3 linked regions of the Cricetulus griseus genome follow. The protein of the gene in region 3 purifies or fractionates together with the protein of the main gene of each other region. This does not show direct contact. Links are inferred from orthologs where the notes say so. Each region holds a gene or a part of one and is shown on either strand. Other genes may lie near its edges.

Region 1 (5,990 bases), on a different chromosome or scaffold from region 3:
ACCTCAAATCCTTCCTTCCCTCCCTTCCTCACCACATTCCTATTTTGAAAAGTACAGATCTGACTTCCTTAACAATAAGAAGCTTCTAGAGTAATAATAACACCCCATTTACGATAGCGTATAACCAGTGATCATTAGTTTTTGTATTTATGAATGAAGATTATCTGTTGAGGTATTTTCTACTTTACTTCGGAGACAGCTGTGCCTTTTCTATGATTGCTAAATACATGTACCAAGTTAAAATATGATGTGTTGATTATTTTCCTTATACCATTGTCATTCGCAGGCTTTTGGAAGTACTATTGTTATCAACCCTGAAAAAGATAAAACCATGGTTCAGGAGCTGTTGGACTTTAAAGATAAAGTTGATCATATAATTGATATCTGCTTCCTGAAAAATGAAAAATTTATCAATGCTATGAAAGAAGCATTTGAAACATTCATTAATAAGAGACCAAATAAACCAGCTGAACTCATAGGTATGTTGCACATTCTTTTTCCGGTTGTGAAATTTTTTTATTGATAAACTCTGAGGTGAAAACATATTATACCTATGTCTTGTTTGTTTGATGTTGCTTAGCTACTAATACCAAGTCTGAAAGAGTGTCTCTAAGGACATGTATGTAAGATATATAAATTCCTTCAAGCTAAACACCTTCTCAAAGCCTTCATGTCAAACATGACATAAATTCTTTGTGAGATAGAACATTGGACCCCATTTACTTTTAGTGAGTAAACTTGATTTTGTACTTTCTAAGCCTATAGGGATTTAGAAATGGGGCAGAACACTATTTTCTAAAGGTCTCCAGTTATACAGGAAAAGGCCAGCATGAAATTTCCAAATGACAAGGAATAAAAAGTCTAGGATGAAAATAAATCTAATGATACAGGCTGACTAAATATGCAGGTGTGTTGCAGTGCTTCTCACGGTTCCTTACACATGCACTAGTACCTAGGGAGCTAGGTCCTCTGCCAAAAGGATGAAGTCAGGTTTGGTTAAAGTCAAATTTTGTTTGCATTTAAACATTTTATAAATTGTGCCTTCTGCTCTATTGTTTCTGGTTTGTTCAAATAGAAAAGTAATGTTTAAGGATGCTGACCATCTATGTAAAATACAAACTTTAGAGGATACCCATGTTTTCTGGTGACTTTGTTTACCCTCTACACAGAGCTACTTGGAGTCTTCACCATGAGCTCGTCTGACTTCATTTTATCTCTCTCCTCTCTTGAGTCAGACTTAATGCTTTTAGGCTGCAGTATGTATTATCCTCATGACATTGACAGCTTTATCTCTCTTATTGGAGACTTATAAAATGCATGTACATATAATAGACATACTGAAGAGAGTAGACACCCATGGTCACTAAACAGCAATGTTTTTTTCTCCATTTTAGCTAAGTATGTGGATTCAAAACTTCGTGCAGGCAACAAAGAAGCTACAGACGAAGAGCTGGAGAAAATGTTGGATAAAATAATGATTATATTTAGATTTATCTATGGTAATTGTTGCTTACTGCTTTCATGTTTTTCTTTTAAAACAAAGCACTCTGAGCCAGGCATAGTGGTAGATACCTGTAGTCTAGAATTAGGGAGGCTGAGGCAGCATTGCTCTATAGATTATATGGTGAGTATCAGACGAACTTAGGACAACATAGCAAGGCCTTGTCTCCAAACAAACAAAAACCAAAACAAATAAAGCACTCCTAGATGTATGAGAAATGTTTATATAACCTGGAGAGACTGTTAGGGAACTAGAGGTTGCATTTTATTTATTGCATATTTTTAATTCCTTAAGAATAGTTGAGGAAGGGGCTGGAGAAAGACTCAGTGGTTAGGAACACTAGCTGCTCTTCCAGAGGTCCTGAGTTCAAGTCCCAGCAACCAAATGGTGGCTCACAACCATCTGTAATGAGATCGGGTGTCCTCTTCTGGTGTTCGTGAAGACAGGTTACTCATATACATACAATAAATAAATATTTTAAAAAAGAATAGTTGAGGAAGCCGGGCGGTGATAGAGCATGCGTTTAATCCCAGCACTGTGGAGGCAGAGGCAAGCAGATCTCTGTGAGAGGTGGAGGCCAGCTTGGTCTACAGAGCAAGTTTCAGAACAACCAGGTCTGTTATGCCAACAAACCTTGTATCAAAAAACCAAGTGGAAAAAAGGAATAGTTGAGGAATGTAACTAAATTACCTTATGCTTTGACCTTTCCACTAATATGAACCTGGGAATTTGCTGATTATTTTAATCTCTTGAGTTTTGGTGCTAACAGTACCTGTGTACTAAAGTGTTTTTTTTTTTTTTTTTTTTTTGGCTGAAGAAAAGTTAATACAGTCTTAATTTTTTTTTTTTTCGAGACAGGGTTTCTCTGTGTAGCTTTGGAGCCTATTCTGGCACTTGCTCTGGAGACCAGGCAGGCCTCGAACTCAGAGTTCTTCCTGCCTCTGCCTCCTGAGTGCTGGGATTAAAGGCATGCACCACCAACGCCCGGCCCCAGTCTTAAATTTTTTATAGTAAAGAATTTTGAATTGTCTGGCACAGACATAGACTTCTAGTGTTTTTGAGTTTAATAAACTTGGATAAAATGTATAAAGTAAAATAACTTGAGGTTCTGTGATTAAGCTTTTTGAAGCCATTTTGTTACAACTTTACTTGGCATATCATGAGTTCTATTTTTTATTTAATACAGGCAAAGATGTTTTTGAGGCCTTCTATAAGAAAGATTTAGCCAAACGCCTATTAGTTGGCAAGAGTGCATCTGTAGATGCTGAAAAGTCAATGCTGTCCAAACTGAAACATGGTATGTTTGCCGTTTTCTTTCCTTGTTTATTATTTAAATTTTCCTTTCTTTAATGTTTGAGGGAAATGTTGAGTTCATTGTACTATTTTCATTGATGGCTTTCTTTTGTCGATCATTTCATATGCACATGATGGTACTGGTACAGATGATGGGAAAGTAAACTAAGGGGATGGGGAGGATGGCTCAGTGGGTAAGAGCCCTTGCTGTGCAAGCTTGAGGGCCTGAGTTTAAATCCCCTGCATCCATGTAAAAAGGCCATGTGTACTTGTATAACCCAGTGGCTCTAGGGATTGGGTGAGGGTGGGAGACAAGAGGATCTCTGGGGCTTCCTGGATGCCAGCCTAGCTCTTGATGCAATGAAATATCCTGTTTCAAAGGAATAAAGCAGAATGTGGTAAAGCAGTTTAGCCAACGTCCTCTGGCTTTTCCATGCATGAGTGGATACCCGTATCTATACATACATTCCCTGACCCCCCTACACACACAAACCCATAAATTCAGTGAGCTTATGAGGGTCCTAGCTTCTTGTTGGATTTCCACAGTCATTGGCTTTTGTTTTAAAGATAAAGCATTATTATTCTGTTTATTTGTATAAAAAGTTCCCAAATATACCTGAAAGTGGATAAGGTTGCTATATGATTCAAGAGTTTGCCTCTGAATTAGTAGGGCACACACTGGGGGGTAAGAATTTCTTCTCATTCTTATCAATAGTTATAGTCTTATTTTATGGCCAAGTAAGATTTGCCCTTTTTGATTATTAAATGTTTTGTTTGTACTACCTTGAAATATTACAAATATGTGAACATCTTTAATAGAATGTGGAGCTGCGTTCACCAGCAAGCTTGAAGGGATGTTTAAAGACATGGAGCTTTCTAAAGACATCATGATTCAGTTCAAACAGGTAAAAGTGAGTTAAACTCTTAGGAATTCCTTGAACTTAAGGATATTTATGTTATGTCTTTGTGTCAGTCCATATTGAAGAGGATAAATAGAAACATCTATTTGTTACAAATAACTTCATGGCAACTTAAATGGTACAGTAGAGGGAACAGATCATCAGTGTGTAAATTTAAGAGCGTTTGACCTCCTTCAGCATTTAGTCTTAGCAAACACTTAGAATAAGACTGAAACATAAGTAAATGCATGAGACCAAAGTTCGTGTAAGAAGAATTATAACTAGACAGTAAGATTGGGGTTTCTTGACATCTAATTGGTTGGAAGATTTGTATGTTCAGAGCTTGTAATGGGAGAGGTGAGGAGATAAAAGGTGGGGGTGGTATATAATATCTCTGGGGACATTTGGGATGAGAGGCTGGATCTGTAGTTCTGAAGACATGGATAGAAGGTTGTTTTAAAATATTTTAAGAACATAACCAGATACGGTTTTTATAACTGTAGTCTTAGCTACTTTGGATGCTGAAATAATGACACATGGGCAATAGATTGAGACCCTGTCTTAGACATCAGTAGCAACACCTAGGCAATAATGATGGCACATGTCATGTTACACTCTCAGAGTTTCATTAATGACTTCTTGACCACTGTAGAACTGAAGGCCTAGAGAAAGTTAGGAGTCACTAGCTGCAGGATAGGGTTTATCTTCCTTGCCCTTTCCCCTTCTTCTTCCTTTCCCACTTCAGGTCACCACCTTCAAACAGGGAATGGAACAGTTGAAAAACCTGAGACTTGGGCTGGCTGGTGGGGTGAGGAATGGGAGTTGCTGCAAGGTGTTCCAATTCATGTAGGGGTCTCCAAAGGTGGGGACTACAGGTAGCATTGGGGTAAAAGAATGGAGAAGAGATGCTATAACAGCCCAGGTATATGTGATAAGTTGAGTTAATAATGCCTAGGATGTTTTTGTAGGATTTTTATGCTACTATATCAAAATAGCCACCTATTTATTTTTCTACTGCATTTTGTGTAACCTTCGTTTCAAGTCTTAATAGTTAATTGCCTTTATTTTCAGGATGGTTAGTATTCACATACATTTTTAGAATAAGGAAATTATTAAATAAGTCAACATTATGGTATGATATGTACACTTTTTTTTTTGGTTTTTTGGAGACAGGGTTTCTCTGTGTACCTTTGAAGCCTATCCTGACACTCGCTCTAGAGACCAGGCTGGCCTCGAACTCACAGAGATCCACCTGCCTCTGCCTCTGCCTCTGCCTCCAGAGTGCTGGGATTAAAGGCGTGCGCCACCAATGCCTGGCGACATGTACACTTTTGTGATCTTAATTGTATGTGTTGATCTTTTTATAGTATATGCAGAACCAGAATGTACCTGGCAATATCGAATTAACTGTGAATATCCTGACAATGGGTTACTGGCCAACATATGTGCCTATGGAAGTCCATTTGCCACCAGAGGTAAGATTAACTGTTTCAGACCTAAGCTATAGGGATAGAAATCACACATTTTCTGCTTTTCATTTGAAAATATGTGCCTTTTAAAGGCTTATGTCAGCAAAGAAACCAACAGAATATGAGTGTTAATATTTTATTCTTTTATTCCAATTTCCAAGTCCACTTGAGCACATTAATGAAGGTAGGTCTCTAAATTCAGTATTGTTTTCCCCAATTAGTCTTCTATTTCTTAGCTTATGACCCCTTAATCTTCCTAACTGTCAAAAACTCTTGTCCATATTTCACCTGAAGGCAGGACTGGTGAATATGATGGATACATGAGTGTCCTCTAATGTCTTAGAAACTGTCCTACTCAGGAACAAAGCCTCTAGAAGGTTGAATAGAGAAAGATACTGAGAGTCCTCTATAGAAAGTAGCATTGATGCCCCAGAGAGTAGATTTCCCTCAGTAAGGGAAGAATATGGTGAAGATGAAGAGAAAGGGCAGAACTTGAACTTGAGAAGGGCTCACATTTAGCAGGTGTAAGAAGAGCAAAAGAAACTTGTGCAGAAGCAGCAGTGAGAGAAAGGAGTCAGTAGAATGTCAGAGGGGAAGGAATGATTAAATAGGGCAGAAGAGCTAAGAAAGTATAAAGATAGCCAAGCACTGTTACATTGGGTAGATTTTTACCTTACGGTAAAGTGATCGATACCTACTGGATACTCATGAAAGCTATCACAAGTTATTTCAGATGGGGTTTAGAGTGGTGAGAGGGAGATCAGTGAGGTTCCCCAGGGGTGAAGTCACCTGCCAACAAAGCTTGACCTTTGAAGTTCAATCCCCAGG
Region 2 (4,963 bases), on a different chromosome or scaffold from region 3:
GCCTAGCATTCGTGGGGCCTCGGGGTCCTTTTCAGAACTTGGGATGCTAAGGCGGGGGATCACAAATATTGGGCCAGCCTATGCAACTTAGAGTCCATCTCAAAAAGGAGTAGGGATGTAGCTCAGTGAAAGAGCCCTTGTCTATAGCATGCAAGGCTCTCTATAGCTTGATTCTCAGAACTGCAAAAAGGAAAAAAGTACTGCCTCTCAACAATTACAGAAGTAAAATTATGGGAAAGTCTAAAGCCTCCTAAAAATGTAAAGATGAGCATATTATCATGCTATGTTACCTCCCCAAGTGTCGAATATACAAATTCGTTTATGGTAGATAATGAAGACAATGTCTTCTTCCCAAAGACAATGGTAAACTGCTATGAACACAGCAAAGAGCATCAATAACAAATGGCCAGTCAAGAGCTTGAAGTATAGAGCAAATGGATGGCCAACACTGTGTCACTGGCCTCTGTCCTGAGAGGCTAACAGTAGTGTGGCTAAACTGAGCCGAGTTTTAAGAGGCCTCTGGTTGAATTAGAGGATATAATGTGTTTTGGGTTGCCGTTTATAGAAAACTGGCGCTATCTTTTGTTCCTGATTTTATCTACAGTGAACTAAAGTATAGTTTTAAGATAAGTAGAAGAAACATTTTCTAATTGCCTTACAGTGTTTAGTATTCTGCAAAATATAAGGCTACAGGTTTGCCCTTCAAGCTTGTATTCAGTTAAAGAGATCAGATAAATGGATGAAACTGTGGAAGACAGTTATTTAGCAAGAGTTTAGTTTGAGGGCTGCAATTCTGCTGCATCCTTGTAGGCTAATGGATGCTGGGTCTCTGGCCTTATTAAAAACTATTGTTAGTTAGGTGAGATGCTGCATGTCTGATATGCCAGGATGAGTGAGCGGTGATTCGAGATACTGGTGGATGATGTAAGACCACCTCACTGAGGACAGTCAGAAGCAGAGGCCACAAATTCTGTGCCCTCTGAGAGCCAAACTAACTTACAATATCTGATGTGTGTGTATGATACACCAAACACCCCTGATTTAGAGTAGGAATTTGATGCATAGCATAACAAAAGAGCTCGAGGTAGGAGTGAGCCCTCAGCAACAGTGTATGCTCGGAAATGTATAGAAGGCCTTTTGGTGAACCAGGATAGGTACTCTTGGGAGGATGGGTCAGAAAGTTGAGTTCAAATAGCTCCTTCTTGTCACTTCCCTGATGTTCTTGCAGTTGGCAGAAAGCGACTTTGCCTCCACCTTCCGGCTGCTCACAGTGTTTGCCTATGGGACCTATGCTGACTACTTAGGTAAATGGGGGCTGGAGCTGTGGAGCTATGGAGACAGGGGAAGGGTGGTTTCTGGAGAGACTTGGAAGAAATTTCTGGGGTGCCCCACTTAGATGGCGTAAGTGAACCTCTGGGCAATCTAAGACCGTAATTGGTGCAGAAAACTTGTAAGAAACTGCTAAAAATAAGATGCCTGGGCTTCTGTCCCCTTCCCTAGCTGAAGCCAGGAATCTTCCCCCACTTACCGAGGCTCAGAAGAATAAGCTTCGGCATCTCTCAGTTGTCACTCTGGCTGCCAAAGTCAAGGTAAGTGACAGTCCTGCCGCCTACCAGTCCAAAGCCAGAGACTGCCTATTGTTTGTCACTGGGAGTCTCCACCAGGACAGCTGTTGACCTCACTCTGTCTAGGTCTGAACTGAAACTCCATTACTGCAGTCATGGAGGCTGTAGTTTCTCAGTTTGAACCTAAGTTCTAAGTTACCATCTTTTGTGTTTGGTGTCAAAATAGATACTGGGATCCTGATAATCCTCGTTCATTCACCATACAGAGTCCCAGGACAACAAAGCCTCAGAGCTAGAAATGGGGTTCTTCCCCTGGAACTGCCAGGCTTGTGTGCTACAATAAGACATAATGTGTACCTCAGAAGTGTCTGTGTCCCTGTGGGCCCAGCTTTTTGTTACACTACACCACGTGTTCCTAGTCTTCACTCTCCCAGGCATTAGCTAGAATTGAGTCCTGGTGACTTTTGTTGGGATCAGACTCACAATTGAGGAGGCCTCAAAGGTGAGGCCAGTTTGTAACTTGGCTAAGTCCAAGTGTTAAACAGAGTAACTCCAGACCCCTCCTATGTATAGTCCTCTGATGTCAAGCTGATGTAATACAATATCCTTAGCTACTGCCAAAGAAATGGCCCAGGAAGATGTCGCACTCTTTCACTGTGCTGGGGCAAGTGGGGCATAGTAGGGTAGCATCTCTGTGTGTTAAGAGTGTCTTTTTGAGTCTGGGGTCATGTCTTATGTAATCCAACACTTGGGAGGCTGAGACAGAAGGATTAGTGTAAGATCAAGTCTAGCCTGGACTACATAGTGAGGTTCAAGCCAGCCTGGGCTATAGAATAAGAGCCTGGGTCAGAGTACATTAAAGAAAAGGAAAAAGAAGGAAGGATTGTCCTTTTCTGATGATGTTTTGAGGTGGTGATACGTTTGCTTTAGAACTAACATTTCCTGGGAAATGGTTTAGAGATAGGAATGGAGGACCTGTGGGACTCAGCAGTGGGGAAAAGAGGGAGGAGGATATGGAAAGTCCTCTGCTTTTGAGCCCCACAAACCCTGGTCTGACCCTGGACCCAGTGTATCCCATATGCAGTGTTGCTGGAGGCCCTTGCCCTTCGTAACGTGCGCCAGCTGGAAGACCTTGTGATCGAGGCCGTGTATGCAGATATCCTGCGGGGCTCCCTGGACCAGCGCAATCAGCGGCTGGAGGTTGACTACAGCATCGGGAGAGACATCCAGCGCCAGGACCTCAGTGCCATTGCCCGAACCCTGCAGGAGTGGTGAGAACTTGTCAGGCCTTAACCATCCCCTTATGTGAGCAGGAGAGAGCAGGGATTGGGCTGCAGAGGGTTAGTCCAATTGGAGAGAAAGAAACCAGTACTTTGCTCTGGAAGCTTCTGAGGGAACAAGCTTGAAGGAGATGCTGGGTGCTAAGAGGCAGGATTGTTGGAGCAGTAATTGGGGTTCTTGGGGGTTCTTCATGGGAGGTTTGTCACTGTCATAGGCACATAACACATGGGCCATGGGTCTCTCTTCCAATTTCTTCTTTGTATCCCTATAACTTCATTGTGACCTCACTTTGTATCCCAGGCTGGCTTTGAACTCAAAATCCTTCTGCCTCTGCCTCCCAGTATTGAGATTACAGGCATGCACAGTTACACACCACCGTGCCTGGCACTCGTGTTTGTGTGTGTGGTAGAGGGGTGCAGGTGAAGGCAGGTACTCACAGAGGCTAGAGGCGTCAGATCCCACTGGAGCTGGTGGTTGTGAGCTGCCTGGTGTGGGTGCTGGGAACCAAACTCAGGCTCTCTGGAAGAGCAATGCATCTTCTTTACCACTGAGCCATTTCCCCAACAGCGCCCAGCCCCACCCACGCTGTGTGTGTCACTCAGCTACTCCCTTATCCCTTCCTTCTCCTACTCCAGGGGGTTTGCTGATGAAAATACTGTTGTAGCTGGTTCCCGGGTGCCTGGTGAGGGCTCCCAGCCTTGGCAGGGGTTTCGAGTCCAGCTTGGAGGCTTGCTTTTGAGGTTTTGTTTTGTTTTTAGGAGTTTATGATCACAGGCCTCTTCTGCTAACACTTCATCTGCTCTGATTCCCACAGGTGTGTAGGCTGTGAGGTCGTGCTGTCCGGCATCGAGGAGCAAGTCAGCCGTGCCAACCAGCACAAGGAGCAACAGCTGGGCCTGAAGCAACAGATCGAGAGTGAGGTAAGCAGGTAGGGAACAGGTCAGCTACAGCTACTGCCCTGGGCTCCTGGCCTGTGCACGTGCTGGATGTGGCTGAGGCAAACTGATAAGATAATCAGGATCTGTCAGGTTCTGGACCTACTTTGCTATCTGCCATTCCTTTCATCCTGATAGGTTGCCAACCTTAAAAAAACCATTAAAGTTACAACAGCGGCAGCTGCTGCAGCCACTTCTCAGGATCCAGAACAACACCTGACCGAGCTGAGAGAACCAGCTCCTGGCACCAACCAGCGCCAGCCCAGCAAGAAAGCCTCAAAGGGCAAGGGGTGAGCCCGTGCGGGGAGCCGCTTGCTTCTGGGTACCCCACATTTACCTCAGGGGCCTCAGCCTGGCTGCTCCACTTGCTTTAGTCATGTGCATGGGGTCGGGAATGGGGGTGTCCTCCAGGAATTAGGGGACCCCTTGCATCCCCTCTCTCTCTCTTCCCCTTGCCAGACTCCGAGGGAGCGCCAAGATTTGGTCCAAGTCGAACTGAAAGGACTTGTTTCTTCCCTGGGAATGTGGGGTCCCAGCTGCCTACCTGCCTACCCCTTAGGAGTCCTCAGAGCCTTCTGTGCCCCTGGCCAGCTGATAATCCTAGCTCATGACTTTTCATCTCCTCCACCCCCAAGCATAAGCCACATCCCCTATAGGGAGAAGGCCAGTCCAGGTCACGTCTTGTTGGTACTTGTTATGTGTTCCATTGCCTCTCTTCCCTGACACGCTTGCTCTCATCTTCACTCGGCACTGTGTCTGCCCATTACCCACGTCATCAACCAGGTTGGCAGTCCTATGGAGGGTGCTTTCTCTTCGCCACCCACAGGTGTTCTCTACCACGCCCACCCCTGCATGCCTAACCTGCAGTTCCTCCTTCCCTGTGCCTATTGGGCTGCACCTGAAAAGCTATTGGGAAGGGTGTCCTCCACCTTCATCCCAGCCTTAGAGTTCTGGAGCCAGTCTGCCATTCTGGGAGTCGCTGAACACTTTTCATCCCAGAATCCCATCACACTACAGTTGTTTCTTGTCCTGTCTCATCTCCTTGGGCCTGGGAATACTGTTGCTTCAGTGACCCCAGAGCCCCAGAACAGCTATTTTTGAGATGTTAAGAAATGGTTCTTTGTTAGCTAATCATCTTAGGAAACCCAATGGAAATCCTGGAATGATTTGTATTTCTTCTTG
Region 3 (5,990 bases):
TGTTTTTAATTAGTATTCCTTAAATGGGATGCAGAAAGCGAGAGTGTGCTGGAAATAGAGGGCTCATGTGGCTCCAAACCCATTGAGATCTTTTTACAGAAACTAAACTGGGATTTTTTTTTTTTTTCCGTATACGCATATAAGTTATTTCTGTTTTCTTTTCGATCCAACCCCTTAAGCCCCATGCACACTAGGAGAAGGGCTCCTAATTCCAACATCACTGTGTAGGCATGTATTGCCAGGGGCACGTCAAAGCCTTTAAATGGTACATTGTTTATACCTGAGTGGTTTTACAGGTAGTTTTATGTAAGTCTTGTAGTGTTGCTGTAGTTTAGGCTCTGGGTTGTTAATTTTAAATAGTCAGCAAAAAATGAGAAAGATTGCCTTGGAAAAGGTTATTTCCTGTCCTTTTTCCTGGAAAGCTGCCTTTCCAAAGAACAAATTCATATAAAACTGGATTGTCCGTGAAGTGTATTGGTAGGTGTTCTTCCGTGTGCTTACATTGGAACCCGATTGTTCTATGTATTGATTAAGATGACTTGTTTTAATTGATCTCTGTGCAAATTAGGAATAATGCAAGATACCTTTGGAAGAGGATACCACCTGCTATAAAGTCTGTAAGTATTCTGCAGTGCCTGTTGCTTTGGAAATACTGGCATTGACTTTAAATGACAGCTTCCAATTCCCCTTTTCTCTCATACACCATTGTTACTTGAACGGTTAAAGTTACAAACCTTCAGGTTTCTCCAATAGAATGGTGTGGAAATCTTGTTAGTGTACTGATGAGGTTTTGTGAGGCCTGCCTTGCCCTGTGGGTCAGCTGGTTCACAGCTGACCATTTCAGATGCAGGTGGCAACTGAGGGCTGGGGATTTCAGCAGACTACTTGGTTTCCTATAATGACCTTGTTTGGAAACTGGCATTATTTACATGAATAATCATTGCATGAAGATCACTTTGTTAATTAAAATTTCTTACTTGGGGTGGGAGATTAAATGCAATAACCTGAGAAAAGTTCCTTGCCGAGTAGAATGAAGAAGGATTTTATTTCACTTTTCTCTCTTACCCTGAACTGCTGCTTGTAAGAGTGAAGCAAGAGGGAGAAGCAGCAGGTGGTGTGAGTGGGATCCGCTGAGCTGATGTGAACGGGAGCTCTGCACATAGGCTCTGCATGGACATTGCCTTGCTAACCAGCTTTTGGTGGTCTTGTTCTAACTGAAGAAATGTCAGCATCTTAGGTTTAAATGGCAGTGCTTAAGATAATTGGTCCCCAGAAACTTTTTTTTTTACTTTCACATGCTTTGTGATTGTAGTAAAAACATTAATTGTAGAAATTTTGTTGACATTACTGCTCACAGCCTTTTAGTCAGCTCCAACCTTTGGACATTGCAAAACCATTCTATCACCTGCAAAGTTCAGAGTCTGGAACTGGGCACGCAAGTTACAAAAAAGAAAAAGGTTTCACAGTTCATACCTGTTCTTGGCCCTGTGGGCTGCAGATTGGACACTCCTGTTAGAAAAGTAATTGCAGCTCCTAAAACCAATAGTGTGTGTTTTAATGATACAGCTAACAAGTTTTGTGTCATTTCTGAGATTTTGTTTGAAGATACAGTCATTATTATTTTCAGAGCGAATTCCTTCAAAGGCAACAATATTTATTGCAGGCAAATTCTGAACTTGGGGGGATTTGGTCAGTAGGACAGCGAATCTGGCAGAGAGATTTCCCCGGGATCTATACCACCATCAATGCCCACCAGTGGTCGGAGACTGTGCAGCCAATCATGGAAGCCCTTAGAGGTAATGTTTCTTTGTGGTTCAAAGTCACGTGGCACTAAGCCTGTCCTTGGAGTCCTTGGAGGTGTAGTGCTGTGCTGTGTCAGTGTATACTTTTGAAGAAGACAGTTGTGATTTGTGGGTGCTTTTCAGGCTTGACCTAGATCTGTGTTAATTGTGATTCTTCATCTCATTACTGGGGATTCTGGGGGACATGGCAGGAGTGGAGGGTGTCACTGTTGATTCCAGATTGCAGTTATTCCATTGGCAATATCTTTTATCCTCTTTGTCACTATTTTTGTGGAGACAGGAAGGTTATGACAGGGTTCTCGCTGAGTAGCCCATTCTGTCCTTTATTCCTTGGATTACTGGTATGTACCACACATGTGGCCTTGTGAAAGGGTTCTTTGTTGTTAAAATGAAACTAGGCAGTAACGTAAAGTCGATGGTGTAGGTGGGTCAAGATTTTTTTAAGTCTGTGTACTTGAAAATCCACAGAATTTGGATTTTGTTAACCTTGGCCTTTGATAGATGTGTGTCCCCTGTATACATCTCATAAAAGGAACAAGCTTAGAATCTAAGTTTGTTTTCATTGTTTTGGAAGGTTAGAGGCCTGGTATGATGTGGTGCCGACACATAATAGCTCTGTCCCTGCCTCCCTCCTTTCTCACACTTCCCTGCCTGTGCTTCCAGTCTTTCTGGGTCACTCTTTCCTGTTTTTTTATTGGCCTTTGTGTGTGCGTGTGCATTGCACGCATGCTGGCCAACAGCATTGGATCCTCTGGAGGTAGACTCACTGGCACTTCTGAGCCACTGGGCTTGGGAGCTGGGAACCAGATTCAGGTCTTGAAAGAGCAGAACATATACAGACTCTTAGCCACTCTAGCATTCTGGCCTCATCACACACATTCATACAGTGATCTCTCTTTCATTGTTCCACTCTTGCAGTCACTACCTGCCTTTAGTGTATTCTTTCAGTTGGGGACTGATGTTGATGTAAAGGTCCTCATCAGCAGGGTAAGGACTCGGTGTACCAGGGAGCAGAGAGTAAGGATGGCTGGAGAGCTGCACCAGTCCATTCTCTGCAGTAGTACCTGGTCAGCATAAAGCAGAACAGTGTAAATGACAAAGCAGGAAATAGATGCTTTGAATAAGCATGAGCCGAATTTGAGGGTAGACGCGGGCAGGGGGAGGAGTGTGGAGTGAGGTTACATGGGTGCCGTGTTGCTTGAGAGCTGTCGTGGCAAGATCCCTGGAAGGAGCCACTGGAGAGTGGACTGGCAGGGTTGGGGTCAGCCTGGTAAGTGCAGGCTGCCTTTTCCAGGTGTTGGACTGCAGGGTCACAGTCAGGACTTGGGTATGGGCTCCCTACTTATCCAGTGAGTATTCTGTGTGTTTTATTTTTTCCTAGTACCACCTTGCACTGGATTCCCTGTGAAATTAAGAGTTGCTTCCAGCCCACAGACACCCATTCTGTCTAGTGTAGCTTGTTGGAGTTTGATCACTGGAGCCAAGCATTTGAGTTTTCATTTTGGCTCATCAACCTGCTGAGCTTCATTTCATTGTTTTGAAATAAAACTGAAGAGTTGACTTGTAAACCCTGGTCATAGCCTGAGACGCTGTTCTATTCAATCCATGAAGATTTTCTTGAGACTTAACAAATCTCCAGATTCCTAAATGATCTGTAAAATGCCAGCCTGGTAAGGCAGTCTCAAAACAGATTGGAATTTCTGCGGAGTTTGATGCTTTGCTTTTTAGGGTATTATAAATTTGTTTTCTAGTTAAAGGTGCCACATTCGGACTTTCTGTCTGAACATCTCAGTGCTATTAGGAAATTAGAGCTTTCTTGGCTAAAGAGCCTGATGGGAGAGCAGTTTGTTACAGAAAGCCAGAAAGGGCTGGCAAAGCACTGAGGGAGTAGATGTTCATAACAGTCACTCTCACCCAAAGCCTGAGGGGATGGGATGAGGGAACAGTATTACTGGACCCTAGAACAGGCCTGATTCCAGAGCTGTGGGGAGACCACAGCTAGAGCAAGTTGGGAGACCAATGTGTGGCTGCTGATCAGCACTAGAATGCAGAGCCTTTATTTCTGCATCCATTATCAGCCTATTCCTGCCCCTCCTCTGTCTGTCCTTCCGTTCTTGTTAGCCCTCTCCTGCCTCTCCACAAACCTGCTGCTTTTCTCATGTGGCTCCTGTCTATTCCCTACTCCAAAAGTCTAACCAGAATATTTGAACTAAAGATAGTGATTTTAAATGGTGGGAGATGGTTATGGTGCACACTCTATATGTATGTTCTTGCCATGCTGCCTTGGTTCTTTTCCACTGAATGTCTGACTCCTTCATAGGGGAATTTCTGCGCCTCCGAGACATTCTCAATGTCTGCCTGGGGGTTGGTAGTCTCAAGCAGAGTGCAAGTGTAAAGACAGAGGAGGAGTGGTGAAAATGGAGCGCGGCTTCCTGTCGGCGTGCTGTCTGTGTGTGGAAGACTGCGCATACTGCCATGGTGTGCTTCTAGCAGGCATAGGTTTCTCTCCTTCCACCTTTACAGAGCACAGGGGACAAGCTCAGGGCTCCAGGCTTGGGTAGCAAACGCCTTTACCCACTAAGCCATTTCCAGGTCCATTGTATATGCAGTTTTCCAGAGCTGTGAAAAAGCTTGTGGTTGAAGGCATGCCCCATTTTGGTTACTGTCAGCAAGCCAGGTTCACAGTTGTACTGCAAGAAATGTTGTTTCCAACCTTTTAACAGTGGGGCCCAGAGCTCAGGAGTGAGGTGTGAAGAGTAGTCTGGCCAAGGGCACTAGTTTGGAGCAAAAGGTGCCTGAAGGGACCTGCGTTCCTTGGTTGACAGTGCAAAGGGGAAATTTCAGTGTGTTAAGGGGTTGGTTTTATGTGTCCAGTTGCCTCAACTGTAGACTATAAAATCTGGTTATTTCTGAAGCAGGTTGGCAGCCTTCTGAAGGAGCCTTTTATTACCAAAAGGGCACTGTACAGGAGGACTAGCTGGGTTGGATGGGGCATTTGTCTTATTCTGTAATTTTCTTAATGTAGATACATACGTGAGCATGGGGAAATGTGGAAGGCTGTTTCCAGGGATATCTTATGTCTGGGCCTGGCAGCACCTTCTCTTGAGAGTTAGACCTTCAAGCTTGGGTTCAGGGTTCTGACTTGGTGCCCACTTGAAGTTAGAAACAGGTGCTGGGGATAAGGTTTGTGCTCCTGCATTGGAGGAATCCTGTACTGGATACCCTCCCGAGAGGGGCAGCTGTATTCTCACCTATTCTGCTAGTGTTTGCAAGTGAAATGGAGCAAAGGAAATTTAAAATGTTTGTACCTAAATTCGTAAATGTTTGCCTTCTTAAGATTGGGGTCTTAGCCCGGCGTGGCACACACCTTTAATCCCAGCACTCGGGAGGCAGAGGCAGGCGGATCTCTGTGAGTTCGGTGCCAGGATGGGCTCCAAAGAAACCGTGTCTCAAAAAAAAAAATAAATAAATAGGGGTCTTATGGTTGCGGATGTTGTTTTCTACCTCTGGCTTTTGTCAGCATCTGATGTGAGGAATGTGTGTGTTCACTCAGTATGGGGTCCCTCAGACCTTCTGGGCATGCGGTGCGTCTAGTCTTGCCTGTAAATAAAAACCGGTTGACAGAACTGTGTTTAAGAGTCCTCTTTTCTTGGTTCCTGCTGCCAACCCTCCCCTCCCACAATAGATGCAACGAGGAGACGCGCCTTCGCCCTGGTCTCTCAAGCTTATACCTCCATAATTGCAGATGATTTTGCAGCCTTTGTTGGACTTCCTGTGGAAGAAGCTGTGAAAGGTACTTGGAGCTTGCTGGTTCCTTACAGGGGAACAGAAATCACAAATCCTGGGTTCACTGTTGCTCCTCTGGAACTCTAGGAGAATGGTGGGAATTTGGGTGGTAGGGTTTTTTTAGGAAGTGATAACAAAGCCCACGTCACCCAGCACCTCCGTGTTTCAGCTGTAACCAAACACAGGAGTGTCCCTGTGCAGCTGTGTAGTCATTTGCATAGCTGCTTAAGAAAGCACTTCTCAATTGACCAAATCCCCCAGGTTTGCCCTTCCCTGCTCTAAAAGACAGTCCTGCCTCCACAGTACATTTTAGTTCATTGCCCCAGTCCCTCGGCCATGCCCAAGTACCTTTTGCAGCTCTTAACCCACAGGTAGAACTGTGGGTGCTTGGTGTTGCCCCAC

Evidence for each region.
Region 1: the proteins of Cops8 (region 3) and Cul4b purify together in Homo sapiens (affinity purification with mass spectrometry; 7 studies listed by BioGRID and IntAct, counting the BioPlex papers as one, with this or other methods). This does not show direct contact. The link is inferred for Cricetulus griseus from reciprocal best matches to the Homo sapiens genes COPS8 and CUL4B.
Region 2: the proteins of Cops8 (region 3) and Cops7a purify together in Homo sapiens (affinity purification with mass spectrometry; 11 studies listed by BioGRID and IntAct, counting the BioPlex papers as one, with this or other methods). This does not show direct contact. The link is inferred for Cricetulus griseus from reciprocal best matches to the Homo sapiens genes COPS8 and COPS7A.

The regions. Positions count from the first base shown.
Region 1 is NC_048604.1:28,547,072-28,553,061, forward strand, and holds part of Cul4b (cullin-4B), read left to right. Parts: intron 1-286; coding exon 287-479; intron 480-1,394; coding exon 1,395-1,499; intron 1,500-2,687; coding exon 2,688-2,798; intron 2,799-3,613; coding exon 3,614-3,699; intron 3,700-5,060; coding exon 5,061-5,168; intron 5,169-5,990.
Region 2 is NC_048601.1:21,453,927-21,458,889, forward strand, and holds part of Cops7a (COP9 signalosome complex subunit 7a), read left to right. Parts: intron 1-1,228; coding exon 1,229-1,304; intron 1,305-1,500; coding exon 1,501-1,589; intron 1,590-2,633; coding exon 2,634-2,836; intron 2,837-3,660; coding exon 3,661-3,766; intron 3,767-3,919; coding exon 3,920-4,071; intron 4,072-4,240; coding exon 4,241-4,280; 3' UTR 4,281-4,963.
Region 3 is NC_048595.1:442,134,341-442,140,330, forward strand, and holds part of Cops8 (COP9 signalosome complex subunit 8), read left to right. Parts: intron 1-568; coding exon 569-617; intron 618-1,663; coding exon 1,664-1,796; intron 1,797-5,487; coding exon 5,488-5,595; intron 5,596-5,990. UniProt on the Homo sapiens protein: Component of the COP9 signalosome complex (CSN), a complex involved in various cellular and developmental processes.